Linked DNA regions of Tribolium castaneum. The protein of the gene in region 3 purifies or fractionates together with the protein of the main gene of each other region. This does not show direct contact. Links are inferred from orthologs where the notes say so. Each region holds a gene or a part of one and is shown on either strand. Other genes may lie near its edges.

Region 1 (6,175 bases), on a different chromosome or scaffold from region 3:
ACGTAAATAAGCTAAATTTATTTTATCTCTTCGGTCCGGAACTGGGATCATTGTGCTGGGTTTGGGGTTTAGGGCGCCTTGAGACAATTTTACCATCAAATTACCAACAATAGGGGCAATTTTTATTATTTTGAAACGGTCGGACACGTAATTTGTTACGTAAACAATAATAAAAAGTGTGAATTTGAAGTGATTTTGAAGTGTGAATAAAACAAATTTTGTCTATTTATTATTATCCTACTTTATTTATTTCCTTTTCATTCCCATTTTTTCGAAACATCGGCATAATCACCGTCCGGGCTTTCGTAATTGTCGATAGCTGGCGTTTCCAAAGGCCCCTCGCTCTTAAAGGGCAATAATCTGAAATCAATCTGGACAAAAAAATATATTTTGCGAAAAAAAGCCCCAGTCACCTGCATTGCTTCCTGATACAACTCCTCCGACTCTTTCCGCAGCTCATCCAAGGCTTTTTGTTGCGCAAAGAAAATCCGGTCCAGCATTTGGACGTCCGTAAGATGCTCATTTTTCCGATAAGTGGCCCATTGTTTGTCCAAAAGTGCTCTTTGTTCCAATTCACTGTCAGAAAGTGCAGGCAAAGACCTCATCCTTGATTTTTTCTCATCTAACAGAGTGAGGGGCACTTCACACTCTTCGATAGGTTTGAACTGGCGCGCGTGCTTCTCCAATCGCCGGATTTGCTTCTCAATTTTCTTCTTCTTGCGGTCTTCTCGTGCTTTAATAACTGCAGGGTCTAGTTTTTTCTTCTTCTTCAAAGGCTCGGCCCTAGATAATTGGTGAATTGGGGGCCTCGTTTCGTTATTACTTACATGAGACATGGTGTTGCCCTAAAATTGAGAAAGACACTCGTTGCAATTCCCCGTCTTGGGCACGACTGGAGGGCTAGCCTAAAAAATGTCACAGTTAGTGCCAATTACTCCAAACTTATACCACACCTATTAAATGTGTTTATCAAAGACCAGGCGCTCATTTCTTGCCTTTTTTCCTAAAAAAAATCGGCAAAAATAGAAATAGGCCAAAATTTTGAGGTTAGAACATAACCTCACATAACCCCAAAAATGAGCCAAGCTACGAGTTCAAACAGCGAAGAGATAAGTAACGAAGACCGTTTACTGGAATTAGCCAAGGCCAAGCCTGAGGGGATTTCAAACGAGAACATAAAACAGGCAATTCCTAATTTACCCCTCGAAGAACTCGCCCTGATAATCAACAAGTGTTTAAAAAATGGGTTCGTGGGCGCAATCACCCCCTAATTCTATTCCTAACCAAAATTTTCAGTTCCTTGGAGTTGTTCAAGACCAAAGACAAGCTCCTCTACAAATACAAAGACTCGTCGAAGAAGCCCGCCATTCGGGGGGCCGACAACGAGGAAAAAGTCGTGTTTAAGATAATCGAAGAGGCTGGCAACAAGGGCATTTGGATTCGAGACATTCGCTTCAAGTCCAACCTCAACATGACGCAACTAAACAAAGTCCTCAAAAGTCTCGAGACGAAAAAAATAATCAAAGCCGTAAAGTCAGTCTCGGCCAGTAAGAAAAAAGTGTACATGTTGTACGACTTGGAGGCCGACAGTTCGGTCACGGGGGGCGCCTGGTACCAGGACCAGGACTTCGAGTCGGAGTTTGTGGACGTTTTGAGCCAACAGTGCTGCCGGTATTTGCGCCAGAAGTGGGAGGATGCGAACAGCATGGGGGGCGGCCCGCTCCTGGCCCGAAACCGGAGCTACGCCACGGCGCAAGACGTCCACAAATTTATTTCCGAGCTGGGGATTAGTAAAATTTCGCTGTCAGTGGACGATATTGAGAGCATTTTGTATACTGTTGTTTTGGATAATAACGCGGAGCGGATTGTGGCCACGAACGGCTCGTTTTTGTACCGAGCGGTCAATAAATTTATGCAAACACCTGGCATTGTGACAACCACTTGTGGGGTTTGCCCCATAGCCAGCAGGTGCGCCGATACCGGTTTTATTAACCCGAAAGTTTGTAATTATTTCACGGAATGGCTCGAATAAAGTGTTTCGCAACAAACTGGTGTTTTTTTTATCCCGTATTAATTAATTAAGGTTATGTTTGTGGGGGAACATAACCACAAAAAAGTGTGGAACATTTTGGTGGTCGCAGGTTTTTTAAATGTCCGTTCTTGGGCACAGCTTTTGGCAGTCACCTGCGCTCCGCGCATGCGCCGGAGCCCCGAAGCCGAAGAGGTTGTCTGTTTGTCATGAATGGTGTGAGAAACGCAATTTTATTGCGGAAATTTTCGGTTAGTTCGCTTTGAATCTCGCCATTTCATGTCAGATTTGGTTGCTAATCCATCAGTGTTGCGTTGTGTGTGTTGTAAATGTGGGAGCAATTCTGATTAGACTTGTTGTGGAGTCGTGAGTTTTCCCTCCAAATTGCGATGCCTCTTTTGAGGAGAAAGCCCTTCGAAAAAGCGCCGGTCCCGGAGGATATCCGCGATGACGAGGAAGTTTTCTACTGTGGGGCCACCAACGAGATTTTCCGGGATTACGAGTGAGTTTTTGCGGCGGGTTATTTGGAACGTGGTTGCTTTCAAACGCTTGACCTAACGGTCCACTGTACCTACGCCATCGACCTCAAATTTAACGCAATCGGAGATCGGAATCGATTCAACGCTTGGCTTTTCAGGGACTTCTCCGAGAGGATGTTCCTGTGCAATTCGATGATTTGGACATGTGCGATGACGGGAAAACCGAATTTAACGTATGCCGAGGCGCTGGAAAGCGAGGAAAACGCGAGGAAAAGCCTCAAAGAGTTCCCAGCTGAGCTCAAAATACCACTCCTGTACTTGGCGAGTCAGACAAAACGGACGTCCTTTGTTGACATGGCCGAAGACGTGTACTTGTTCACCAAAGACAGGTACTTTATCGGCGAAAACGTGGAAACCTCGTTCACGGAAACCAAGTGGAAGGACTCGCACGTGCTACAAGTCATACCGCCCCCAAACAAACAAACCAAATCGCCGACAAAAAACGGGTAAGTCCCCTGATACTAAAACGCCAAATTGCGTCATTTTAATCACAAACCGTTAGAAACACCAATGACAAGCACTGCAACCCCCCGGCGAACCTCTACAAGTACGAGATCGAGCACTTGGACGCCAACGATCACGACATAAGCGAATTTATGATCGTTGACTGCAGTCAAATGCGCCGCAAAAAGGGCACTTACTCGCGCGAAAAGTGCAAGCTGTTCCTTAAACAATACGCCGAGCAGGACAGTAGAGGCGTTTTCGTCATAAAACCCTCAGCTTTGAAAGCCTTTAATTTGGATAAAATCACTTTCGATAAAATTTTCGGCGGCCAACCGCCCGAATTCAGTCCGTCGAAGAAATTCGTCAAGAAAACGCGACAAGAATCGCTCGATAAATACCTCACGAAGAGTACCAACTTTGCGAAGAACGGTAACAATGATTTACTTGAGAGAATGAGGAAGAAGGAGGAGGAATTCAAGCAGGCCAGGCAGCAAAAGAAGGAGAAAAAAATCGAAATGAAGCAGAAGAAAAAGGAAGAGAATCTTCAACTTGCCAAACAGTTGAAGAACTGGAATAAGCCAAAAGAGGATCTGGAACTTGTCGATCAAAAAGTCCGTGTTTGGTTGCAAACGAATTGGAATTATTAATTTTTTTGTAGAAATTGCCAAAAGCTAGTCCAGTAAAACTGAAAATTGCCGATGAATACGTGGGGGACGTTTTAATGGTGCTAGAGTTTGCAAACACGTTTTCCAAACTTTTGCACACCAAGGATTTTTTCCCAGGGGGGCTCTCGCTCGAGATTATGGAGAGGGCATTGACAGAAAATGAGGTATTTTTTTTAAACAATTGTCATTTCAAATGGCTGAATGAATGGGAAAAAGAATCATTAATAATGTTTATGCAAGACGATTTTCTCCCGTACAATTTTAAAAAACTTGCACTTTGAAGCTAAAAATGGATTCCTTTTGTTATCAATTATTATTAAATGTTTTTTTAAGTTTTTATTTAATTTCTTGCCTTGTTGTCTATTTCTCTGGTTTCATATTTTCCGAGTCAAATTCGAGAGGGTTGCTGTTAACCGAATAAGGTGGAATTTTGCATACATACGTAATTTCTATTTATTTTTAAAACAATAAAAAAAATTCCCTCAAAGACCAAATTATAACACCCTAAAATCTTTAATTTCTGAGATTATTAACTGTTACTTTTATGCACCAAAACTTTCGGAATGTTTTGACAATATAAAAGACAACTTTTATGTAACTGAAATAATTTTTCCAAAACTACCAAAACATTAATTGTTAACGTACTTTTTCTTTTTGATAATTGTTAGTCGATTATTATTTTTGTTATAATAAAATTGCAACATAATTTTTTGTGTCCCGTCCGTAATCTCACTATTTTCTTTTTTTATCATACACTTTCGCTGTATTATCTGTTTTCATGAAAAAATCATTTAAATATATCTAGCCCCTCTAACATATTTGTGTTCTTTTGAAAGTATTTACAGTTTTTTACTTATTTTTGACACAATTTTTACTGTCCCGTCCGTAATCAATGATCTATAACGATTTTGGAAAAGTTGGCGGCATAAATATTTAACTTGATAAGTCAGTTTGAAAATAAAATTTGACACAATTATGTCCCGTCCGTAATCATGGAATGACTGTTTATTAAAAAAATAAAAAGTTATTAATGAATCTCGGTTTGACGTCCAGTGTGCCACTTCAGTTTTTTTTTTTGCATTATTTGGAACGTTGTTATAGGTGGCTGGCCCCCTCATCGACCTGTTCCAAATGCTGTTGCTCGCCCTTTTCCACGTGCAAGAGGAAGAGGCTTCTCAGTATCGCACCGAAACCGAGACTTTGAACCTGAAACAGGAGGAAATTTCCGATAATATGAACCTGCAAGAGGCCACTCGATTAGCGACCATTGCCGCCGGTTGGAGCAAAAAATACCAAGGGCTTCCGTTGGCCCAATTACCCCTCTATTCGGTTACGACATCGGAAGTGTTAAGATTACACCTGTTATCATCCGGTGCTATAATAAAAATGAGCGGCGCGAGATGGCGCTACCAACAACGAGGGGGTTACTTAAGCGAAGACGATCCCGGATTGTATTTACGTCTCCACAGCCCCCATATTCTCAAAGCTTTGAAGACCCACAACGTGGTTGAGTTACCGATCGTCGATAAGTTGCAAATTTTGTCGTGTTTGATGAATCAACTGTTGACGTATGCCGATGTTAGGGACGTTGTCGAGGAACGCATGGAGAATATTCGACAAGCGAAGCACGAATATAAAACTATTTTAAGCGCGGAGAAAAAGCGAGAACAGGAGTTTCTGACTGCGAGGTTCAAGCTGAAAAAATCGGCGAAAACGGACGAGAAAGCGGCAACTGAATTACGCAAGTTGGAGGCGGAAGCCGAGCATAGACGCATGGAAAACCAGCGGAAAATGGTGGTGTTACAAAAGGCGGTGTACGAGAAACAAGTCTTGTTGGGACAAGACCGGGCGTTTCGCCGCTTTTATCGCCTCGAGTCCATCCCTGGATTTTTCCTCAACTCGGAAGAGGAAAATCCAGGCACCTGTTTGAGCAATATTATCGAACAAATGCCGCATTTGGTCAATGCGACACGTGACGAGGTTTTGGACCACTTGAAGAAAACACTCAAAGAATCAAATTCCAGCGATAAGGAGAACAGTCCGGCGAAAAATCGCAAAAACGGACAATGCAACGGTGTTTTAGACCAGAAAATCGAACTCTGCGATGATTTAATGATGTGTTCCGCCAACCCCGACACTTGTGTCGTCCATTCGAACGAGCGTCGGAAAAATTTGTGGGGTTTCTACCACGAAAACGAACAAATCGATCAATTGATCGACGGTTTGAACAAGCGAGGAGTGCGCGAGAGTGAGTTGCAACAAAACTTGACGTATAACCGGGACGATATCGAGAAATTAATCCGCGAAACGCCCGTCAATAGCTTAAATTTCGAGATGGAAAGTCGGGAAGAACCCAAGCGGAGGAAAGTTAAACCTAAGTATGAAGACGCCAACTTGGGGTACCCCCCAGATATGACGCCCACCGACGTCTTACATAGCGCCCTCATCGAGAACATTCTCGAAATGGAGGAGAAAATCTTCGCCGGGAGTCTGGGGGC
Region 2 (6,148 bases), on a different chromosome or scaffold from region 3:
CAAAATTTGACAAGAGCACCACGCACACGGCGCCAAATTCCCCAAACCGGCAGTTTTAAATTGAAACTTTGGACAAACTCTTCAGTAAATCATTTACCAACATTGTAGCTCGTGTTTTTAATAACTATCGGTACTTTGACGAGCTCAAATTAAATTTTTTTTAAGGAAAAAGGAAAATACGGGATTCAGGGTCACAAACAAAAAAACGTGTGTCAAGACTTGAATGCATTTATTTTGCAAAAAAAAAATGTTGAAGTGTTCTAACAACATTCTAATGTAGTTGATAATACATCTGTGGCCTGTAAAACAATAATGACTAAAAGATTAATTAAAATTTCAAATTGACCGTGATGGCGGCAGTGGCGCCCTCAAACAGTCATTTGTCAATTGGCGTTTTAAATAATTTAATTCCGTTTTTAAATGATTAAGGGCCCCATGGACGAGATCGAGTGGAACGTGGCGCACGAGGGGCAGCTCCTGGAGGCCATGGTGGGGCACAAGCCCGTCGGTACGTCCCCCACGAACCTAACCTAAAAAACTGAAGCCCCCTTTCAGGCGTCAATAAGTACTTCCAAATGGCGTGCATCTGTGACAAGTTCGCTGATAGTTGCCAGAAGGAGATCAACTCGGACAAGGTGTGGGCCCACCTCGAGACAATGTACAATTTGGAAGCTTTGGATGAGAGTGAGTCGATTCCGTTCCCGAATAGTGAGAAAGAGTTCACACTTCCCGATTCCGACTTCGGTTCCCTCATTGTGAAGAAGGAAGAGGACAAGAAATTGGCGCAGAAAGGGCGCGAAACGCCCAAGTCGCTCAAGGAATTGCGAAAAGATGAAAAGACTCCTGTGAGGAGCAGTAAGGAGGTGCCAAGGCGTGATAGTAAAGACAGTAAGGACAAAACCCCAGTGAGTGCGAAAAAAGAAATCAAGAAAGAGGCTGAAAAGAGTAAAAGTAAAGGTAAGAGTAATAGTAGTACACCAAGGGAGGAAAACAAGGCAAAAGCGAAAAGTGACGACACACCAAAACTGACGAAGCGCCCTACTAGAGGCAGCTCTAAACCTGACGATTCCAGTTCGAGTGGTAAATCTAGTCCAATCACAGTCACACCACCAGTGACAAAAAGGCGACGCATTTAGTTTCTTTCTCACTTTATTAAAATTAATAAAAAGTGCCTCAATAAATTACGTAAAACACGATGCAACTCGGAGCAACATCACCTCTCAAGGCGGCAGAAAAACGCATGTTTCGATTCGCTTGTCTCGCGTAAATACTTATCATAAAAATTCAAAACGACTGCTTCCACCTTAAAACCGAACTTTTGGTACAAAAACAAGGCCGGGTTGTTGATGGACACGTGTAGTGTGATATCTTTGCCGAGACTTGTCTGAAATAATTAATTAACCAACTAGTTTAATAAAAATCGACTTTTCAATTACTTGGATTAAGTGATACAACATGAACTTTCCAATCCCGACGTTTCGCCATCCTGGCCGTGTAAAAATAAAAGAGACGTAATTTTCGGTGTATTTAACATTGGGGACGAGGAACGCAAACGCCACTATTAATTTTTTGTACAAAACTACGCAACTAAAATCCGGATATTGCAAACTTTCAGTTACTGCAACAAAAAATTAAATTGTGTTGTAACATTTCGGACACTTACGATCGATTCCTGGCCAAAAAAAGTTGTTGCAGAGACTGTTAATGGCAGGTATGTGCTCAGGTTGGACGTAGGTGTAGTCAATAGGGGCCCTTGGAGGTAGAACGTAATTTTGTGTTTTTTCGTTTGCTTTCATTTGTATCTCGGCCATTAGGCGTAGCCAGGATGGATAAGTTTCTGTATCTCTTCGTATGTAAGGTTTTAAATAAATGCTGCTGTAAGGTGAGAGAATTAGTTCTTTTCTGATACCACCCATCAACCTGACTCTCATTTCGCTTCCTTTCTGCCTAAACGCGTCTAAAATTATTTTTGGAGTAAATTCTTAAGCCCTGGGACTATGGGGGACCAAAATATTTGGTGGCATGACGAAAAATCGAGCAAATTTTAAGCGCAAAATAACCTTTTGGAATTGGTACTTGGGCAGATTTTTTTATTCAATTATGACCTTTCTTAACTTAACTTAATTTCTCAACTTTTTCAATAAATCAGAATCTTTACAATATTTACAAAAATCTCGTCTTGCCTCCTAGCTTTAGTCCTGCACACCTCTCACTTGACTTACTGCTAAAGCAAGTGTTGTAGTGACAAAACGGGTCGAGCAATTTCACAGACTCCTTATTTTGCTCACTTGGGGGCTTATTACGTGGCTGAGCTTCGCCCAAATTTCGCTCGTTTTGTTTGAGATAAGTTGGCGTTAATTCATCACCTAAGTTTGAAAAAACCGGCGAGTTTTTATTCATTTTTAAGAGTCTAGAATTGCATTGTTATGTTGTGACTTTGAACAGAAAAACTTACTTTTTGGACGTGCTCTCAAATGTTGGTAAAAGACTTTTTCTTTTATTTACGGTAAAGTTTTTAGTAATCTACAAACAATGGATGATTTGTAAGTTCAAAACGTAACAAATTGTACCTTTTTATTGGTTTCATCGTCTGGATTTTTTTCCGAAAAGTTGGGAACATCGACAGTGAATAAAGGCGTTAGCAAATCATCGTCTTTGATGTTTTTGTGTAAAATTTGTGTGAATAATTCAGTGTCTGAGACTGATATTTTTAAAATTTTCGTTTTTTGCTTCTCGTTCGTGAGAGCAGCATCTGGAATTATACTTTCACTCCTGATTTTTTAATTATTATTTCACTCAATTACATAAATTTGAAATTACGTTAGGGGTGAGTTTGGGGTAGGTGAGGGCCCACCAAGCCGGTTCATTAACGACCGAAGTCCCCGACTTGAAAAAATACGTACTGAAGTGCGATAAAGTCCCAGCAACGGTCCCAACCCATTTTTTTTTCTTTTTACTACAAAAACCAACAATTACAAATATGTGATAATCAAATGTTGGAACTTACAAATCCTTCAAAAACAGACTCTCCCAGTTTTTGTCGATTAGTGACGCTATGTGGTTCCTCCAATGGAAGTACCCCTTGCGCCCCAAACCCGGACTTCGTGACTGCAAATGATACAAAGCCAAAACTAATACTTTTAACCTAAAAGAACTCGTCCACGGAACGCCCTAAATACCTACTACATTTCTAATTACCAAGACATTTTCTCCCTAACAAACGACTCGGACCCGGCCTCCGAACATTCCTCACAAGTGAATGTGAAAAAAATATCGCCGTGAAGCCCCCCAGGCACACAACCACTTTTGAGACACCGCAAATGAACACTTTGCGAACATGAACTGCACGTTAGGCCTTCGTCGAGACAATCTTCCAATTTATTTGTGCAATATTTACAGATTTTGCAAGTTTCGCTCATTTTTGGATTGTAAACACAACCTCACTTCGAGATTATTGTCACGTGATTGACGTCCATAATGGCGGGTTTTTGAAAAAAATGGACGAAAATTATGTAAAATTGCATTTATTGTAACATCAGTCTTGGGAGGGCTCCGCCGTGACGGCCTCTCGATTCTCGTAGGCCCAAAAGCGGTGAAACTCGATTAAAATACTGACAAAAGTGTCCCCTTGCCCACAGGCGATTAAATCATTCAGGGTGATTTTTTCCGGATCTTTAGGCCTGACCATGTCAAACAGTTCGTCTTTAACGTCCTCAAAGGACACAGCTTCGGCCCCATGGGCCCTCATCTGCTCCTGAATCGCTCGGAAAAAATAATTTAAAGTGAAAGAGTCCAAGTAGCCTTGATTATTTATGTCTAAGATGCGGAACAAAAAAGCAAGAGCTTGTGGTTCGGCACGATTTTCCAAAGCTAGTACTAGATCTAGATAAGTTTTGTAGTCCATTTCACCGGAATAAGTCAAAAGCGTTTGAAAAACGCGGTCTAGAAAGGGCTGCGTTAAAGTCCCAGAGCCATAACCCGCAAGTTCAGATTTATTCAACATTCCGTTGTGATCACGGTCAAGATTTAGATAATGTCCGTAAATACGTAACGTTGAAGGGGCACTAAACCAATTTTGTTCCTGCACCTCTTTACTCAACTCCTCGTCCCTCAATTCGAGTAAATCATCAAGGAACGAACAAGCTAAAATGTCTAAAATCCGCACACGACCCGCACGCACTCCATCGAGGAAAAACAGAAATTTCCGAACGGCCGTACACACGTAAAAACTATAAAACGACTTTTCCAGTCCCTCAAGTTGCGGCAAAGTTGGCAACAACTCAGTGATATAATTCTCCAAGTCGATTTCAGTCAAGTAACCCTGTCCCGTACTATCATACAGCGATAACCCGATCCTGGTCTGCTGTAGCCACACTTTACGCATCACGTAGTTAAAAAGCGACATGATCGAGACTCTGCCCTGGGGGTCACCCTGTTGGAGCTTCGCAAACACGACCGAAGTGAAGTAGGGCTTGACTTTGGGCCCCACCAGCGTGACCACCTTCTGATAATCGGAGTACGTTATCAACTGTTCCTCGGGGTAGCTCTGGTTCTGGTCCAAAATCACCCACAGTTCCTTCAATTCGTTGTTATCCAACAAGTTTTGACTTTTACGTTTCAGTAAATTGGAGCGGCTCTCCTCGCGCAGTTTTTGCCTTAGGGGCTCATCTTCTTTCGGTAATTTATTGTAAAAACGCGGAATGCCCGTGGTTTCGTTCGGTGGTTTGTCACAATATTGCTTCATGTAGTGTTGGAAGTACTCGTCTTCTTGTTGCTCCAACTCGGGGGGCGACTTTTTCGCACCTGGCAAAATTACCAGTCGAAATTTTAACTAAATGAATTAATTTTTACCTCCACTTTTCGTTATTTTTTCCCGCAGTAGTGTTTTTAAATCCATTTTGTCCGCAAAAAAATAAACCTAACCGTGAACTTGTGATTGTGACAATTTGAAAAAATGGCGGGTGGTGGCTAAGGTCACCACATTTTGGGTTTGGAGGCCTTGTTATACAATTTTTATGATAATTGCGCCAAAAATCGAATAAATGCGTTATGTGGGGTGAGGTACGTTCGTAATTAGTTAATTTCGCGTGATTATTTGGTGTGAAAAATTGGTCGGTGTGTGGTTGTGACGTTAGACACTGCCGCATTCCTTCGTCAAACCGATTTGCGCCACTGTGTCCTTTTAAATAAATTGTCAAATGTTGAGAAATTGTGCGAAAGCCGTGTCAGAATCGTGGGTGAATTGGTGTCTGGTGTTTGGTGCCCCCCTTGCAAGGTCATGAAGCCATGGAGGGGTCGGTTTTGAGCCCCAGCGCCAGGTGTTAAAATCCATTTCAAGTATGAAAGGAGGTTAGGAATGCGGGCAATCGCCCAAGCAAATCCCGCACAAGTACGTACCATGAATAATCCGACCGGAGGCTCAACTGAACGCATTCCTTCCAGCATGTGATGCTCCGTCCAGAGACATGGCAGAATTTTTGCCATTATGCGACCTCCTCTTCAACGTAGTCTCCCTCGCTGCCTATTTCTGTGATCTAGTATTTGATATTCTCATGGTGTATGCGTTGTACGAACGCGGCTTGGTCCTCCTCTTCGCCCAGTGCCTGGGGGCTATCGTCCTGGCCACCCTTGTCACGCAAATCCTCTCCTTGCACTGGTACTTAGTCAAAAAACCGTCGGGTTTCTCGAAGGTTTTAGTAATCGGGTTGCACGTCATGCAGTTGGGGGTGTTGTGGCGCTACGGCCGTCTTCTAGTACCTGTTCATTTATCTAGTGTAAAGCGCGAAGTCCGCGACTTGTGTATATTGCGGCTAGTTCACGGGTTTTTGCAAGCGGCCCCCATGCTGCTCCTTCAGCTGAGTCTCTTGCCAGGCACTGGGCAGGGGCCCCCTGCCAATCTGGTCACAGTTTCGGCCGCCTTGTCCCTATTCTCCGTTTGCTGGGCTTTAGCCTCGTTCAGCAAGCACGTACAAAGTGTCGATAGGTTAGTCTTGACCTGGCTGGGGGTTGTTTCACAGTTGTTGTGGCGGGCGGGGACTGTCACAGCACGTGCCTTGGCCCTCTCTGCCTACGCTGCCAGCTACCATTCCTGGGTCTTCCTGGTTTTGGCCCTACATTGGGCTTGCATGTTCCTCTGGTTGTTGTCCCC
Region 3 (4,615 bases):
ACTTTGGGATTTTACTGAAACTAGGCCAAAAGTCACACCTTCTGATAAAAAAATTAAGCTATTTTCGTTTTTCCAGCGTTTGAAAGCGGTTTTTTAACTAAATATTCACTTTTTTTGCGCTAAAAACTATATAGCTTTGTGAGATTTTACTAAAACTTGGCCAAAAGTCACATCTTTTGATAAAAAAATAAGCTATTTTCGCTTCTTTTCAATATTTAAGCACAAAAAATTGCGTTATTTTTGCCTTTTTTATATTTATATTTTATTATATATTCGCTCATTTTTATGAAACCCACTCAAAAAGGTACATAAATATTACCTAGATAAAAATTAAGTATTAGTATTTAATTAAGTACGGCCAAGAAATTACAAAATGGGGTCCAAAACCACTTGATTTTTCCATTTTTCGAGTTTTTAATCATGTTTTGAGCTTTTTCGAACATTCAGTTCCGTGTTTATCAACAAATTTTTTTCTAGTGATTGTTACTTTTGCTTAAAATCATACATGAAGACTTCTTAAGAATTATTTTCGCTTTTATTAAAATCGAGCTTAAGTTGGCAACGCCGAATTATTTGCCCGTCAGTGTTGCCAACCTAAATTTCAAAGTCAGTGCCTACTTTGGCCCGATTTTTAACCAATTTGCAGGCAACGTTGCAAAAATCACAGAAAGCGACCTCAAAGAAGTGGGAATTGTGAATAAATCGGACCGGGTCCACATTTTAGACGCATTCCAAATGTACCGAAAGGAGCAAATACCGACCGATACGGCCCCCTCAGCTCCAGTGCTGCCAATCGAAGAGGCAAGTGCGCCACCACTCGAAAATGTCGCAAATTTGGGGACTGAATGCGTCATTTGTTTGGACTCAACTGTATGTTGTTTATCTCAAATTAAGGCGAATTTTGGTGTTTTTTTTTTGCAGTGTGAGGTGATTTTCGTGCCATGTGGACACTTCTGTTGCTGTTCCCAGTGTCCTGTGACCTTGAACGACTGTCCAATGTGCAGGACTTCAATCGAACGCAAAATTAGAATAATTTCATAGTTCGTTCAACTGCCGTCACTTTTTTTGCTCAGTGTTGCTAAAGTGTGAATTCTGCACGATTTGTGGCCTTAATCTAGTCAGTTGTTACTTTTTCTCATGAATAAAAAACTATCACAAAAAATTTATTTTTTATTACGATTCTCCCGTTTCTTCCTCTTCCACGGCCTCCTCGTCGTTGTCTTCCGCCATTTCAACGTCGGCCCCCTTCTTCACTTTCTTCTTCTGCTTCGCTTCTTTGAAATCTGAAGTCGGTTTTTGAAACGTGAACATAACCTCAAAAAAAAACTAACCTCTCAGCATCACACTTAAGGGCTCCACGAATTCGTCAAACTCGAGCTCTTCTAACGCTGTTAGAATGTCTTGACCCAGAAGAGTCTTTCTGTTCACTTTTTGCGCCTCTTTGGTGGCTTGTGAGGTTATGTACAGGACAAAAATTGAAGCGGCCCTTGACAGGGCCGAACGGGCGTCTTTACCAACACTGACGTGTTCAGGCAATGCGTCTTTAATTATCTTTTGCACCGTCATGTTCGGCAAATTCAAATCTTCCAGTTTTTCGGCCATTTGGTCACAAAATTCACAAAATTACTTTTCCCACCAAAAACAAAAAACGCGCATGCGCAATGCCAACCGCCATGTTTGAATTTTGATTAAAAAATCATTAATTTGTTTATTATTGGTCACCTAATAATTATAAATTTGTGTTTTTTGTTTAATTAAGCTTGGGGGGCTCGTGACGAATGGGGTGGTTTATTTTAGGGGCTGTTTTTTGCAGTTTTGGTGGGGGGCCTTGAACTATTCACCCTTGTTGGCCTTGGTTATTGAGGTTATGTTATAAACGGTTGACGTTTTGAAAATATGTGAAAAAGGTGAGTTAATTTTGCATTTTCTCACCTAAATTAACACAAATGTGGGTCAATTCGTGAATTGTACGTCAGTCTAATCAATTTCCAGTCGTAATTCGCTAAAAAAAGGGGGTTCAGAAATGTCCATAAGCCAAGTGGAAAATGTCAGCACTCGTGTAAAAAACACAAAAAAAGAGATCGAACAGCTCAAAACCGAGCTAGAGAAGCTCATAAGTCTTGGGACCCAGCCCCCTGAGCCCCCCACCCACAAGCCAGCCCCTGATACCCAAACCGTTAAAAAAAAGGCGCCCCCCGATCCCGAGAAAAAGCCCCGCAGTTATGACGTCACCGAGGCGCGTAACTACATCAAAAAACAGCGGGAAAAACGCGCCGAACAATTGCGGGCCCAAATCAACACCACTGACAATAAACTCGATCTGAAAAAGCAAAAACTGAAAGAATTACACCAGAAAACACTCGAGCTGGTGACAAAAAACGTGCAGTTGAAGCGCGAACGCTCGAAATCGCGGGACAAGGGCGAGCCCCCTGTCCGGATCGACCGCTCGAAGGCGCGGGAGAAAGGGGGCCCCCTTGTCCGAACCAACCGCCCGAAGTCACAGGACAAGGGGGGCCCCCCGAAAATCGACCGCTCGAAGTCGCCCGCACAAAAAGTTTCTGAGGGCTCCGAAAAGACGCAAAAAAGCGAGAGAATTTCGAGGGCCAAGGCCCGGGAGCCCCAGAAATTGGCGAAAACGTCGTCTGAGGCGAAAGAGACGCAAACGTGCGACAAGGGGGCGCCCTGGCTGGAGCCCCCTTGTGCGGCGTATCCGTACAATTTTATAAACACAGTTAAGAGAAAATTGCAGTTTGCTGTGAATTCGCCCCGGAATTTTATCGACATTGGGGTGCAGAATTCCGGGACTCCGCCCCTGGAAACAAAATCGAGGGAAGAAATTAAAGAACTGTTGATTAAAAGTGCCAAAAGTGAGTTGAGATCGTTTGTTTCGCACAAATGTCTCGACTTGAAGCCTGTGGAAAATTTAGAATTGAGAGAAGTGTCGAAAAATTTGTTCAATAATTGTGATAGTGGTAGTGAGTCGGATACTTCGAAAAATATTCCCGACATTTCGAGTGAAAGTCTAAAGCTCGATTTCGATAAATTGAAAAACTACAAGTTGCAGAAAAGTGACGATAGTTACAGTTCGGATTTTCACAAAGAAAGTGTTTCATTTAAATCGCTCCTAACTGAAAAAAAAGTATCGAAAAATTTCTCTGATTCGGATTCGGTTCCCGAATCTTTGACGATGAAACAACCAAATGTTTCGCTTTCGGTTCGTAATTTGAGTCTTGCCAATGGGAAAATGAACACGGTTACGATTAAATCAGCTAGTGAAAAAAACTATTTATCGGATTCGAATTTTTCGCAAGAAAAACAGTCGTTTAAATCGCTCTTGGTTGGAGGTAAAAATTCAGAATCGGTTTCGGATCATTTGGAAACGAGTAAAATTATCACAACTGAAGAAAACACCAATAATTTGGAAACAAGTTCAAAGAATTCGAGTTCTAAAATTATTACCGAGGAAAATACGAGTAACAACAGGTCTTTGAGTTTGGAGAAGCCACAAAATGATGGTAAAAATCAGCTGAAAAATATCACACTTAGGCCAAGTTCTAGTACGGTAAGTTGTTTTTTTTTGTCTCATTTAGAACAGTTTTGAACCGAAACATTTCAATTGATTTCAAGAAAAAAAGGTTGAATTTTCACCGGAAAATTCTAAAAACTCCAACAAAAGATTCTAAAAATATGTAGTAAGCGGATTATTGTAAGACCAAAGTTTGTAAAATTGAGTCAGAAATGCAGTTATTTTTCACCGAAAAAAAAAAATAAAATCGAAATATTTTTCCAAAAAAAGGTGTTTACTTATTATTTACTTACAAAGAGAATAAGTAAATTTGAGAAATGCAATCAAAACAAGTCAAAAAAAGTGTAAAAACATGTTCTATTTTTTCCGTTTAACCTGATTTTAGAGAATTTTTTGGTTGAAAAATTCATTAAATTTGAGAAATCCTCTAAAAAACTAGGCAGAGATTGTGTAAAAACTTCATGTACTCAGAAATTTTGCCAAAACAAGACCAAAATTTGTAGAATTACGTCTGAGATGCCTTATTTTAGTCAATGTTTACAATTATTTTTAAAAAATTTCGCCAGAGCCAAGGCAAAAAACTTGAAAAATTGGTTTTATCTGTAATTTCAGTACATTTTTAAGTAAGAAAACAAGGCAGAAATTAGTAAATTAAAGAATAAAATGCGTTATTTAAATCATTATCTGCTAAAAAATCCATCGAATTTGAAAGATTTCATCAAAATAAGGCAACAATTTTCATTTTTGTGTACTTATAATCTTATCAACAAAATAGAAATAAATTACGAAATTTTGAAGTCAAAAAAGTATAAAATCAGGATCGAAATGCGTTGTTTTCTTCCGTTTTATTTGATTTTCGAGCATTTTTTAATGAAAAACTGAATAAATTTGAGAACTTTTCAAAAAACTAAGCAAATATTGTGTAAAAACTATGTGCCAAATTTTGTTTCTAAATTTTAAAATTTTGATAAAACATGGAAGTAAATTTTAGAATTAGGTTTGAAGTGCCTTATTTTCACCAGTTTTACACAATTTTAGAGTATTTTTTAAAGAAAACGTTCATAATTTGGCTAATTTTGTCAAAACAAG
Region 4 (5,899 bases), about 36 Mb from region 3:
TATCTTGGTTGATGCACTCAAATAATTAATTCATTCTGTTTCAAACCTTGAGCAAAAACTGCTAATGTCATAATTATTTGTCTCTTTGTATTGGTGGCTTTTCTTTCTTACTTTTGTCAGTGGGATCCACAAAAATAACGGAAAATTCTATTAGATTTTTTTTAAATTTAAAATAAATCGTAGAATTCGCTGAAACAAATTGCTTCGCCCTACGACTTTTAGTTCTAGAGTTATGATTTTTTTTTAGTGAAAAACTAAAAATACCTCTGAAAAAACTTAGTGAGTGAGAAGAAAATAAGCCCAAAAAATCACATTTATGGAATTTTCTGACAAAATTTCTACCATTGTTTTGTTTTTCGTTAGGGACATTTAATAGGTTGGTATCGCGTTGCCCGGCCTACTTTTCCATTTTCGAGTCTTGTTTCATCAAACTCTCGGAGAAAAGCATCGGAACAAGGCAAAAATAAAAGTTCAGACATAATTTGGCCCTTTATCAGCTCTGTTTTCTCGATAAAAATGCAATAATACCAAAAATTGCTAACCTTATAGGTAGCGTCTCCCTCGCTTTTGAACCGGTCCTCCAGCGTTTCTTGGAATTCGTTTCCAGCCGGCAACCGATGATGTCATCTCGTCAGATTTCCAATAGAAAACTTTGATTTCAGTCAATTTGGCACTAATTACGCGAAAAACACTTTTTTAACAACACATAAAAGCAAAAACTTAACGACGCGCTTGTGAAAAAAGTGCGTCCCCACTAGACCACCGCGTGACATCAAGTCAGGACATCTCATTGGTTGGTTCGTCGAGACGTCAAATCGAGAGGCGCGCGATTTCAAATTTGCGTGCTCTCTACATTTGAGGTTCATTTTCGACTTTTTGCTCCAATAACCGAATTTCACAAACGAGCAATTTCGTTTAAATTATTTTTTTTCACCATTCGATAAATAATTTGAAGCACATTCGGATGCCCCTTTTAATTTTTGCCTTATTAGGCTTCAAGATAAAATGTTCGTTAATGGTTTTGGGGAATTGGAAAAAGAAAAAATAATAGTTGTTTCAAAAATTTTATTCAAAATAAACTCTACACTTGAATATTAAAACACGTAGTCCATGCTTTGGCATTCACTTGTTTAAGGATAGCCCTTAGGGACGTGCCTGGGCCACACTCAAACGTCCTTGGGAAATAATCCCCTTGACTCCTCTCATAAACAACATGAAGAAGTTGTTCCCACTTTACAGGTTTAACAATCTGGAGAAAGAAAAACTCAAAACACGAAAAAAAAAACACTTCTAAATTACCTGTTTCGGCAATTGTTTTTTGATCTGCGCTGCGTCTTTGTACTTTTTCCCGTCAACATTTGAATAAACACTAATTACAGGATTGCTCACTTCTGATTTATTTAATGCCTTTCGAAACGGTTCAACCGCTGGTAACATTAAATTGGAATGGAAAGCTCCACTAACCGCAAGTCTTTTAACTTTACGTAAATTTAATTCTTTGGCATTTTTTTCCAAATAATCAAGCGCCTACAATTAACTGCATAACAACTACAAAAATGAAGAAAAAAAATTACAGATTCGCTCCCCGAGATGACTTTACAATGGGGGTACAAATAATTGGCAATTTGACATTCGGGCATTAAGTCGCCTTTATCAGTTGCCCATTCCTTGGCTTTGACTAGTGCCTGGTTTAACTTCGTGTCAGGACCGTACATTACTGTGACCATCCCCCCCTTGTACGCCTCACTAGCCAATTGCATTGCTTCCCCCCGAATTTGCACCAATCGTAACCCTTAAAAAATTCCAAATAAAATTCAATTTTTTGCCAACTGGTTGTAAAATAAACCTCGCTCAAAACCAATCGCCCCCGCAAACACTAACGCTGTAATTTCCCCCAAACTGAACCCTGCTGTCCCCACACAACTCTCAATAGCCCTAGGTCTCTCCTCTTTCAGTCGTTCAATTGCCGCTAAAGAACTGACCATTATTGCCGGTTGACTATATTTTGTTTGGTCCAATTTGTCTTTGGGACCCTCAAGACACAATTTTAACAAATCGTACTTTAAAATATAATTCGCTAACTCAAACAAATCCCTAGCCATGGGGTACTTGAGCAAGTCATTGCACATACCGACAAATTGGCTCCCCTGACCGGGAAATAAAATTATCGAGGACTCGCGTGGATCATATTTAGGTTTTTCGATAAATGAGACACCCTGTTTGCGAATTTTGGTGCCTTGAGGGTATGGCAAAGTAGCCCATTGTTGTTCTTGTGTCTGGGGGTGCAAGTCTTCAAAGGTTGCTGATTCGTCGAGGAGTTTCTTTAGGGGAGATTCTTGCGTTTTTTTCTCATCACAGTTACGATTTGAGGACAGGGAGAAGGGGCGAAGCCCTACCAAAACACGATCGCAGTCTTTCAGAAAATTTCGTGTAATAATTTTAGTAAACATCATGGTATAATTAAACTGTTAATCAAGCAAAACACACAAAACTAATTCAAATAAAAACACATTTTAATGATTCAACTTAACCTCGAATGTCAAGTTGCGACCATATGACCGATTGTTCGCCCAATCTAAACTTTAATCCAAGACGCCAAATTTATCACCACTGATGCAAACTACTCTACTTGAGCTAGCTTTAAGGAAAATTAACGAAAATGAAGATCGGACGGAACCACTTTCGTAAATTTGGTCTTGTTTAAGGTTGTCAAAAGTAAGGTTACAGGTCAGCTGTCAATTTCACGTGTGTAGTGTTTATTTCTTGTATTTTTTTGTAAATTAAGTTATACGAGAGTGAATTGTGTAATATCTAGTCAATTTTTTACAAACAAAATGACAAATACGCAAGAATCGGACATAAATCCTGAAGAAGATTTGTACTATTTCGAAACGGATCACTTGGCTTTGAGAGGAAATAAGGACTATAGTGAGGTTCTTAAAAACTTGCTCATTCTGTGTGCTCAGAGAAAACAAGCAATAAAGGTAAAGTTGTGTGAATTTAGTTACGTTTCGATTAAAAAAGTCTTCAGGACTATAACAAAGCAGTAGAATTGAAGAAAGAAGCACTGGCAGACCCGGCCAAAGTCTTGGAGAAAATTATAAAAGGGGAGTCTTTGGGAATGCCAGATATGCACCGCATGCCTGAAGTAATTACAATTTTTTTGAGATTTTTTTCACCTAATTACATTAGAGAACAAAATATAATTTTTAATAAAGCAAGGAATATTTTGTTCATTTGGTGCATTTTAGTTGCCGGTTATTGACTGGTCAAAGTACGATATTAAAATCCCGGAGGAAAGTTTCAAATTGATTTATTCAGACGGTTCTGAGACTGTTAAGAAAAAACCCGAAACGCCGAAAAAAGAAACGAAAATTTCACATGGGGTAACACATTTTGTAAAATCGGTTCAAATAAAATTGCTTGATTCTATAGAAATGGACAACAGAAGAGCAGAAACGTTTAGAAGAATTGCTCCAAATTTATCCGCCTGAACCGGTTGAAATGAGACGGTTTAAAAAAATCGCTGATGCTTTAGGTAATTAATTAGGCGAAAAATATTAAAACTTGGTTAAATTTTCTTAGGTAATCGAACAATTCAGCAAGTCACGAGCCGAATTCAGAAATATTTTGTGAAATTGTACAAAGCTGGATTGCCAATTCCTGGCCGAATTCCAAAATCTGCCGAAAAACACAAAGTGAATTTACATTATTTTAAGGCACCAAAAAATTATTTTTTTGTAGAGAACGTCATTACATAAGCACCAGCGTCACAATCATTATTTATGGAAACCTACAACTTTTTTCCCCGATTTATGTGTTCCTGTAGTAATGAATGACTTGGATAATGTTCCTGGACCTAGTTCGAAAATTACAGATGAGATACAGCCTTCTACAAGTTCCAATTATCTCATACCTTCGGTTTATCACCAGGAGAGTGAGATTTTGCCCCAAAAAAGTGACAGTGAGTTACAGCTGGAACTTTTAAAACGGATACGAAAAGTTAAAATTAGGGAGAATGAGAGTGGGTCTAATTTCCAACACGTGGGATTTAAAGTAAAAAATAATAATAATTTAGCCAATTTTTTGGTGATTTATTTTCTTATAGTGTGATTATTGCAACGATGAACCAATAATTGGCACCAGATGGCATTGTAACACTTGCAAAAATGACTCAATTGATTTTTGTACAGACTGTGTTTTAACACAAATTTATTCCGATAATAGCCACCCTTTAAACCACAATTTAATCGCATGTGGTGATAGAGAAATTGAAAGTGATTCAGAGTCAAATAGTGGCAGTTTGGATCAAAATAACGAATCAAGTGATGAAGAAATGAGCGATATTTCGGATAATGTCAAGGACCAAGTGATGGCAAACGGAATGGACGAAAGCGAGAAAATTGATAATAAAAATCAAAGTGAAGAAATGCCAAAGTTGGAGTTTGGTAATTATGGTAATGACGAGTTTGTGGACGGACTTGGGTCCGATTTGTTCAGCGAAATTGAAAATCTTTCATACGATTATTTGCACTCGAATTTGTTGCTTGATAAGGATTGAACGTTTTGTTGTTGAAGATTTTATTTATTTATTGCCTTTGTTTGTATGTAAATTTGTGATTGCAATGAAAAGTTTTTTTATATGTTAGCTTTTCGTTTAACCCTTCAGAGCTCTCCTGAAAATCGACGTGATAACGTAACAAAAATCAATGAATAAAACTTTGTTTACAGCTTTGCAAAAATTAGTTACCTTTTTGTTGATCATTTATCTTAATTCTTACATAACTTTTTTAATATTATTCAGTGCGTGTTGTGAATTTTTGCGTGCTTTTAATACGCATTTATTGAAAGTGTTTTTTTTGGTCAAATATTTCGAATTTTCAGAGTTTACTCATAATTTTTTGTAAATAATGCATTCTAGACCTGATTAAGTGATTTCCTCCGTTGTTTTTACAAATTTCCTAAAATTTATTGATTTTTTTAGACTTAATTCTACAATTTTTTACCTATAGTTTAAGCAAAATCTTTCCAGTTTTTTTTTAAATTCCATTGAAAAACAGTTTTAAACAAAATTCTACAAGTTGAATTTAATTTATTCACTGCAACTAATTTATTTAACGTATCACTGACAACTTGACTACACTTATTATTTCATTGAGCGGTCTTTATTCAGTAAAATAAAATATGTATTTAACGTTCTTATCTGTCAAAAGAATAATAAATCATTTATGATGTTTTTATCGTTTCTTATCGTAAAAATACATTTCCGTTTATATTTCATTTTATTACAACTGCAATTATAAATTACATAACATCTCAATAAATAATTTCTTATGTAGCATTTGGATTATCGGGTGGCACAGCCGCGAATAAAATCTGAATAAAACGTGTAAACTTTCCTAAAAATTGCAACAATTAGTAAATTACCCCACAAAAAATTGTAAACCTCATACTCATCAACAATTCCGGTGTTCGCTTCTTGTAAACAAACCAATAATAAACCAAAACCCCCACCAAAATAAACGCCAAAGCGAGCAAATATTTCGGAGTTGGATCCGTAATAATGGGCGTAACACTCAAATAAATAGCTACCAATAAAACGAAAACACAAATCCATGTAGGCACCTGAAAAAAATCATTAAACCAAACCGAAAAAAAGATTTTATATGTACTTTGTAGGGTCGAGGAGCATCTTTCATAGTCCTCCTTAAGACAAGTAACGAGACAAAAGCCAGCCCGTAGAATATCCAAATGAGGAAACTAACAAATTCGATCAGTTCAACAATATCCCCAGCTACGATAAAAAGGAGCGATAAAATCCCCTGAGAAACGACAGCGAATGACGGAGTTAGACGTTCATGATGAACGAAGGAAAGACTTTTGATCATTAGGCCGTCCT
Region 5 (6,169 bases), on a different chromosome or scaffold from region 3:
TGGTTAAAGTCACGCTTGCTCCAATTGGTGAAACCTTGGGTGAGCAAGGCTTCTTTCTCCTGCTGTTCCTCCTCAGTCAACATCTCAGACTCGTCAATCTTCCGCTGTTCCTCTCGCTGTTGCTTGGCGGCCTCCGGCCCCAACTCCAAATTTTTGGGGACTTTGTAACCCAAAGTTTTGCGATAGTAGTAAATTTCTTGGTCAAGAAGCTCGAAAAGTCTGGGAGGGAAAAACTGGAAATCTTGTACGATAGGTTGTTTAGGAGGACGTGGTGCTTTCGGCGCTTTGGGCTCAGAAACACGTAAAGCTTCCCTGAAGTAGGCATCGACGGCATAATTGGCCTTTCTTTCACGCTTCGGAGGCTCGATCCAGGTGTTCAAACCGATGTTTTTCTGCTTTTCGCGATAATCCTCGCCTTCGAACTTGTAAACGGACTCTGTTGGCGTGTCCACAGTGAAGTTGCGCAAGGATGACTCGCCGAGAGCTTCGAGTTTTTGGGCCAGTTCCGCTGTCTAATTTTTTTTTATTAGATTAATGTTATAGTCAGGGAGGAGCACAAATAACTAGAGGATTCGAAACGATATACTAATTTAAACCTCCTCGATAGTTCAATAAATTAAAAAAATGGTTGTATTTAAATAACTGTGAATACAACGCAAATAAAAAAAAGTAGATTAGATCTCGTTTCGTCTCCTACGTAGTTAGGAGGTGAACTTTGTTAGTACTGGGAAATTAAGTATTTTACCTTTGCTTCGCCTTTTTGTAAGATAGTGTCGATGTCTTCATCGGTGATTTCCGAGTCTTTCGATGCGAAGACATGATTGGCCCCGTGCCGGATCATGTTCAACATCTCGTCTTTGTTCAAAGACTGCGATTTGTTGTCGATTAGACGCCCTTGTTGTATCACTAACTTGTCTAGCCTCAGCTTGACTTCGGCCCGTTCTACGATTTTTTCCTCGACTGTATTTTCGGTGATAAGTCTGAACACACGAACTTGTTTCTTTTGGCCGATCCTGTGCGCTCTGTCCATGGCTTGGAGGTCCATTTGCGGGTTCCAATCCGAATCGTAGATGATGACAACGTCTGCTGTTGCTAAATTAATACCCAAACCTCCGGCTCTCGTCGACAACATAAAAATAAATTTTGAGCTATTTGGCTCATTATATTCGTTGATTTGGCGTTGCCGGTCCTCGTGCGGCGTCTGTCCGTCCAATCTACAATAATTGTACTGTCTCCAGTGGCAGTAATCCTCCAAAATGTCCAACATTCGTGTCATTTGTGAAAAAATCAAAACCCTCGAGTCCTGCTCTTTTAATTTGGGCAGAAGCTTGTCCAAAAGCACCATTTTCCCGCAATTGTAGACTAAATGTTCGTCGGTGGTGTACGGGGGCCCAGGCTCAGCCCCATCGAACAAATAAGGGTGGTTTGAACACTTACGCAATTGCATGAGAATGTTCTGTAGTCTCATTTTTTCTACTTTACCGGCCCCGTTTACCACATCAATATCCTTCATCAGGACTTTAGTATACCACTCGCGCTGCATTTTGCTCAAACCGACGTAAACTTTGAGTTCTTTTTTCGGTTTTAATTTTTTCTCGACCTCGGATTTGAGACGTCTCAATAGAAACGGCTTCAAGACAGCGTGCAAGCGTTCGACTAACTGGTTATCACCCAAACACTGGTTTGTGTTAAACCAAGCGTCGAAATCATCAGCAGAGTTAAAAACATCAGGGAGTAAAAAGTTAAGGAGGGCCCAAAGTTCGTGTAAATTATTTTGTAAGGGGGTACCGGTGAGTAAGAGACGATTTGTTGTTTTAAACTCACGGAGAATCTCCGATAATTTCGATTTCTCGTTTTTAATACGATGAGCTTCGTCTATTACCATGTAGCGCCAGTTGAATTTCTTAAAAACTGATTTTTCTTTGATAACCATTTCGTACGAAGTCACACAGACGTCCCAATCGCCTGGCATCATCACGTCCCGAATGAAAGCATTCTAAAAAAATAATTAACGAAACACAATTAGAATTAAAGGATCCATTCTATCAAAGCGGGGTTGTTATGATGACTAAGGTTGAAAAACATCTTAAATTCATAGAAAAATATAAAGATGCTTCAACTTTTTCCAACCATATTCTCTCTTCTAATCATTTTTGTACTGACAGTGATAAGGAAGAGGCCTTAACCTTAACCCCCTGTTACCAGCCCCCTTTTACGCCACTGATGAAGAATGTAATCGCGAAAGCGCTCTGTCCTATCACTCTTTTTGGATATTATAAATTTTTACGTAGGTTGGACTTTGTGTTTTCCAACCTTAGTCAAAACACAATTAAACTAAACCAGGTCTTACCCTGGCCTCTTGGTCCCCAATGAGACACACAGCGCGGATGCTGGGACACCACTTCTTGAATTCGTTCATCCAATTGGCTAGAGTCGACTTGGGGACAATCACAATGTGAGGAGACGGCGTGTTTTTATAATGTTTCATGAAACCTAGCAAGGAAATGGTCTGGAGCGTCTTCCCGAGCCCCATTTCGTCGGCCAAGATCCCATTGATCCCGTTTTCGTACAAAGACACCATCCAGTTCAGCCCCCGGATTTGGTAGTCCCTCATTTCCCCGTTCTTGATGAAAGGCGGCGAGGCTTCGAACCGAATCGTCGGTTTGGCCTTGGCATTGCTTTCGGCCAGCAGTTCTTCATCTTCTTCCTGCTCGGTCTTGCGGTGGCGGTGGTCCGCCACTGGGTCTTCCTTGATTTTCTTGGGACGGCCCGATTTCGGTTTCGAAGGCGTTTTGTTTTGGTTCATAAAGTGGGAGAAAATCTCGGTTTGTTTGAGCAGGTAATCGAAACGGCGGCTGCGGTCCGTTTCGAGTTTGGTCTCGAAGTCTTCGCCCTTCCCACGCGACGAGAGGGTGTCCGAAGACGAGGCATTCTTCAATTTCATAAATAAAGCAGAGTCAATGACCCGTTTTTACTTTTACTATTGTGGTTGTTTTAACAACAAGGCTCTTACCGAATTCTCACCAGTGTCAGCGGTTTCACCGCCTTCTTCCACTTTGGACATGGTGCTGGGTGCGCGAAATTCTTAGCTAAAACTACGGAATGTTGGTTTTTAACGACGATAATTTGGAAAAATGCCGTTCATTTAATGATTCGGAAGCGATACGTAGCGGGAAACACTACGAACTAGTCGCAGGACGGCCGCATCTGGGGGCAAATGCGTCAAACTGGTGAAACACCAACAATCCCTACACACTTTGAGCCCATTTTCGGGCGAAAATACAACAATAATTGCATGCTGCACCCCACAACAACGAGAGAATTTTATGATGTGGACAAATTTTTAAAAGACAATTTTTCATAAGGCGGTGAAAGCGTTTTAGACGGTGGCCTTGTAAATGTTGGTAGTCCCGACTGTCAGATTGTTTAAAACGCCGGATGTTTGGTTGTGTTATCTCAACATCAACAGTTTTGGAATAAAAACATAAAACCGTTCCTGATAATGGTAATTGACTATTTTCAATAAGTACTTAGGCGTTAGTATTGATTTTAGACGACGTCCCCTTCCTTTGTTTTAAAAAAGAATCTCTCCTCAGTTCGTAAGAAGATGGCAGGCTCCAAATTTGAGTTGACTGAAGAGCAGAAGAACGATATTAAAGAGGCGTTCGATTTGTTTGATAATGAAGGCTCTGGGAAGATCGACGCCAAAGACCTGAAGGTGGCAATTAGAGCGTTGGGATTTGAGCCAAAGAAGGAAGAAATCAAGAAAATGATTGCTGATATTGATACACAGGGAACTGGAAAACTGTCTTTTGATGATTTCTTGCAATTGATGACCATGAAAATGGCCGAAAAGGATTCGAAAGAGGAGATCATGAAGGCGTTTCGCTTGTTTGACGATGACGAGACCGGAAAAATCAGTTTTAAGAACCTGAAAAGAGTGGCTAAAGAACTAGGAGAGAATCTCACAGATGAAGAATTGCAAGAAATGATTGATGAAGCAGACAGGGATGGAGATGGTGAAATCAATCAGGAAGAATTCTTGCGAATTATGAAGAAAACCAGTTTGTACTAAGTTGGAAACATACCAGGTGATTTCGTAAAATGCTAAAATGACAGCCTTACAAGAATTAAATGCACAGTTTCCTGTCCTATTCGCAATTTAATTTGTTTAAAATGTATTTGGTTTTGCATTAAATTGTAAGGCTAGTCTAGTCGTCTTGCGTGAATCACCCTGTACCAATTAATTGTTTGGAAACGTCTAGTCACCGTTGCACAAATTGTCAGTATTGTAAGTAGTCTAATATTTGTAACTTCTTAACTCAGTCTTAATCATTTTCCAAATTTTCATGCATTATTTTTAAGAAAAACTCGTATATATTTCTACTAAACCATCAAAAACAACGTTGAATTTGACTGTGATTTTTAACCCTTTTTTTCTAACTCAGATTTTCCTAAAAACATCAATTTTAAAATCGACTCATTTTTCTAAAATAAATTGTTTTTAGAAAAACCTGTCTGAGAAAAAAAGGGTTAAAAATAAAATTCAAGTTGTTTTTGATGTTTTAGTAGAAATACGGGTTTTTGTTAAAAATAAAGCGTAGAAACATGACAAAGATGAGTGGGCAAATAATCTGAGTTAAAAGGTTACACATGTTAGACCACCATTGTAAAATGTGTGTTGCACGAGATGCTTTATTTAATTTTGAAAATACAACATATAAAAATATAAAATATATATTTTTAAATAACATTCCTTCAAATAAATCAATGGATGAATTAAATTTGTTCTTTGACTGACCCATCGGCCAACCCAAAATAGGCCTTCTTGGCCATGTTAACAAATAGTCCCGTCTCCACAACTCCCGGAATGAGATTCAATTTGGTGTTGATTGTGTCCCATTTATAATCCTGGAAGTTTTTCCAATCCAGGATAAAATTCCCATTATCGGTGACCACAGGTCCAGCTTTGGCTTTAGCCATTCTGAGCTCAACTGTCCCTCCCAGTTGGTTTTCAATTTGCGTTTTAATGGGGAGATAGGCCATCGGAACAACTTCAATCGGAATCCCCTTTTTGTATTGTTCCCCCAGCTTTTGTGAATTTTTGGTATAATCCGCTATAATAATTAACTCCTTGGCGCAGCTAGCAACAATCTTCTCCTGCAATAAGCATCCCCCACCTCCTTTAATCAATGTCAAGGTGGAATCAACTTCATCGGCACCATCAATGCAAACATCCAATCTTGGATGTATCTCTAGGTCGGTTAGGTGCAGCCTGTGCTGGATGATCAATTGCCTGGCTTGAAAGGACGTTGGGACACACTGTACATTTAATTTTTCGTTTTTCACACGTTCGGCTAACCTCTCAACGGCGTAAACAACGGTGGAGCCGCTGCCGACACCCACAATGGAATTGTTTTGCACGTGGAGGTCCACAGCTTTGTAGGCCGCCAGTTTTTTAGCACTTTCGAGGGATGCCATCGTGACGAATGATCTCCTTAAAAGTTGAAATAAATTCATGGATTTTAAGATAAATTATTCAACTTACGTTTCGCAACGTGCTCATGCGCCTCTGCAGCTTCCTTTTGTGGCTCTATTTTCAAAGTTGCGAGCTGGAAACCGGATAAATTGCACGCTTGTGGGAATAATACGTAACAATTTAATTACTTATTCAACGTAAACAACTATTACCAGTGTCGTTTTCCCCATGTAATTATTTATTACTCCGTTGGTCATCATTTTTTAACGAATGAGAGTGATTAGTGATTTCTGATTTCATTGAGAATGATTTAAATTTCATTAAATCTACTCGTATCATTAGTTAGGTAGGAGTACACGAGTTATTAATATAGCATCATTTTCAAAATGAAAAGAAAATAAAATATATAATTTTTTTTTCAAAAAGCCTTAACTTCTTCACTTTTAAATACCTTGCTACCTTAAGTTTTAGAGTTGTCTTCCTAGGGGTGTTTTCAAATAAAAAAAAATGGGGGGTACAATAGAGTTATCAATTTTTGAAGGGGATTAAAGCATTTGAAAAAGGTAAGTATAACACTTACGTATTCTGAGGCCAGCTTTTTTTGGTAATTTAAAAAAAAATTGTAAAATATTTGAAATAATATTAAAAAACGCAAAAAATACTACGTACTACATATTTTTCCGATTCATT

Evidence for each region.
Region 1: the proteins of DNA polymerase epsilon subunit 3 (region 3) and Acf purify together in Drosophila melanogaster (affinity purification with western blotting; 3 studies listed by BioGRID, with this or other methods). This does not show direct contact. The link is inferred for Tribolium castaneum from reciprocal best matches to the Drosophila melanogaster genes Chrac-14 and Acf.
Region 2: the proteins of DNA polymerase epsilon subunit 3 (region 3) and Atac2 purify together in Drosophila melanogaster (affinity purification with mass spectrometry; 4 studies listed by BioGRID). This does not show direct contact. The link is inferred for Tribolium castaneum from reciprocal best matches to the Drosophila melanogaster genes Chrac-14 and Atac2.
Region 4: the proteins of DNA polymerase epsilon subunit 3 (region 3) and Atac1 purify together in Drosophila melanogaster (affinity purification with mass spectrometry; 3 studies listed by BioGRID). This does not show direct contact. The link is inferred for Tribolium castaneum from reciprocal best matches to the Drosophila melanogaster genes Chrac-14 and Atac1.
Region 5: the proteins of DNA polymerase epsilon subunit 3 (region 3) and Iswi fractionate together in Drosophila melanogaster (co-fractionation; 4 studies listed by BioGRID, with this or other methods). This does not show direct contact. The link is inferred for Tribolium castaneum from reciprocal best matches to the Drosophila melanogaster genes Chrac-14 and Iswi.

The regions. Positions count from the first base shown.
Region 1 is NC_087396.1:20,817,736-20,823,910, reverse strand, and holds the start of Acf (bromodomain adjacent to zinc finger domain protein 1A), read left to right. Parts: upstream 1-2,180; 5' UTR 2,181-2,418; coding exon 2,419-2,531; intron 2,532-2,666; coding exon 2,667-3,014; intron 3,015-3,070; coding exon 3,071-3,623; intron 3,624-3,670; coding exon 3,671-3,841; intron 3,842-4,778; coding exon 4,779-6,175. Other genes in the region: mRpL40 (large ribosomal subunit protein mL40), read right to left, coding at 258-371, 414-783, 828-905, 954-988; Polr3F (DNA-directed RNA polymerase III subunit RPC6), read left to right, coding at 1,077-1,246, 1,297-2,032.
Region 2 is NC_087396.1:22,634,337-22,640,484, reverse strand, and holds Atac2 (cysteine-rich protein 2-binding protein), read right to left. Parts: upstream 3,489-6,148; 5' UTR 3,420-3,488; coding exon 3,199-3,419; intron 3,146-3,198; coding exon 3,008-3,145; intron 2,957-3,007; coding exon 2,805-2,956; intron 2,753-2,804; coding exon 2,571-2,752; intron 2,524-2,570; coding exon 2,456-2,523; intron 2,411-2,455; coding exon 2,223-2,410; intron 1,958-2,222; coding exon 1,664-1,957; exon of another isoform or gene 1,619-1,663; coding exon 1,437-1,618; exon of another isoform or gene 1,385-1,436; coding exon 1,214-1,384; 3' UTR 1,137-1,213; downstream 1-1,136. Other genes in the region: MrgBP (MRG/MORF4L-binding protein), read left to right, coding at 421-508, 556-1,136; serine/threonine-protein phosphatase 2A regulatory subunit B'' subunit gamma, read right to left, coding at 3,536-4,803, 4,852-4,897; XK-related protein 7, read left to right, coding at 5,466-6,148.
Region 3 is NC_087394.1:1,508,324-1,512,938, forward strand, and holds DNA polymerase epsilon subunit 3, read right to left. Parts: upstream 1,675-4,615; 5' UTR 1,603-1,674; coding exon 1,332-1,602; intron 1,284-1,331; coding exon 1,174-1,283; 3' UTR 1,158-1,173; downstream 1-1,157. Other genes in the region: E3 ubiquitin-protein ligase LRSAM1, read left to right, coding at 647-870, 922-1,041; centrosome-associated protein 350-like, read left to right, coding at 2,024-3,562. UniProt on the Drosophila melanogaster protein: Accessory component of the DNA polymerase epsilon complex. Participates in DNA repair and in chromosomal DNA replication. Histone-like protein which promotes nucleosome sliding of ATP-dependent nucleosome remodeling complexes.
Region 4 is NC_087394.1:37,103,369-37,109,267, reverse strand, and holds Atac1 (ZZ-type zinc finger-containing protein 3), read left to right. Parts: upstream 1-2,649; 5' UTR 2,650-2,834; coding exon 2,835-2,984; intron 2,985-3,031; coding exon 3,032-3,148; intron 3,149-3,251; coding exon 3,252-3,386; intron 3,387-3,435; coding exon 3,436-3,538; intron 3,539-3,585; coding exon 3,586-3,698; intron 3,699-3,744; coding exon 3,745-4,056; intron 4,057-4,108; coding exon 4,109-4,561; 3' UTR 4,562-4,639; downstream 4,640-5,899. Other genes in the region: beg (probable malonyl-CoA-acyl carrier protein transacylase, mitochondrial), read right to left, coding at 1,082-1,249, 1,300-1,527, 1,575-1,792, 1,847-2,453; b(0,+)-type amino acid transporter 1, read right to left, coding at 5,332-5,399, 5,454-5,625, 5,673-5,899.
Region 5 is NC_087402.1:7,784,723-7,790,891, forward strand, and holds the start of Iswi (chromatin-remodeling complex ATPase chain Iswi), read right to left. Parts: upstream 3,229-6,169; 5' UTR 3,065-3,228; coding exon 3,014-3,064; intron 2,933-3,013; coding exon 2,351-2,932; intron 1,997-2,350; coding exon 746-1,996; intron 513-745; coding exon 1-512. Other genes in the region: uncharacterized protein LOC660873, read left to right, coding at 3,503-3,505, 3,554-4,075; Rpi (ribose-5-phosphate isomerase), read right to left, coding at 4,780-5,481.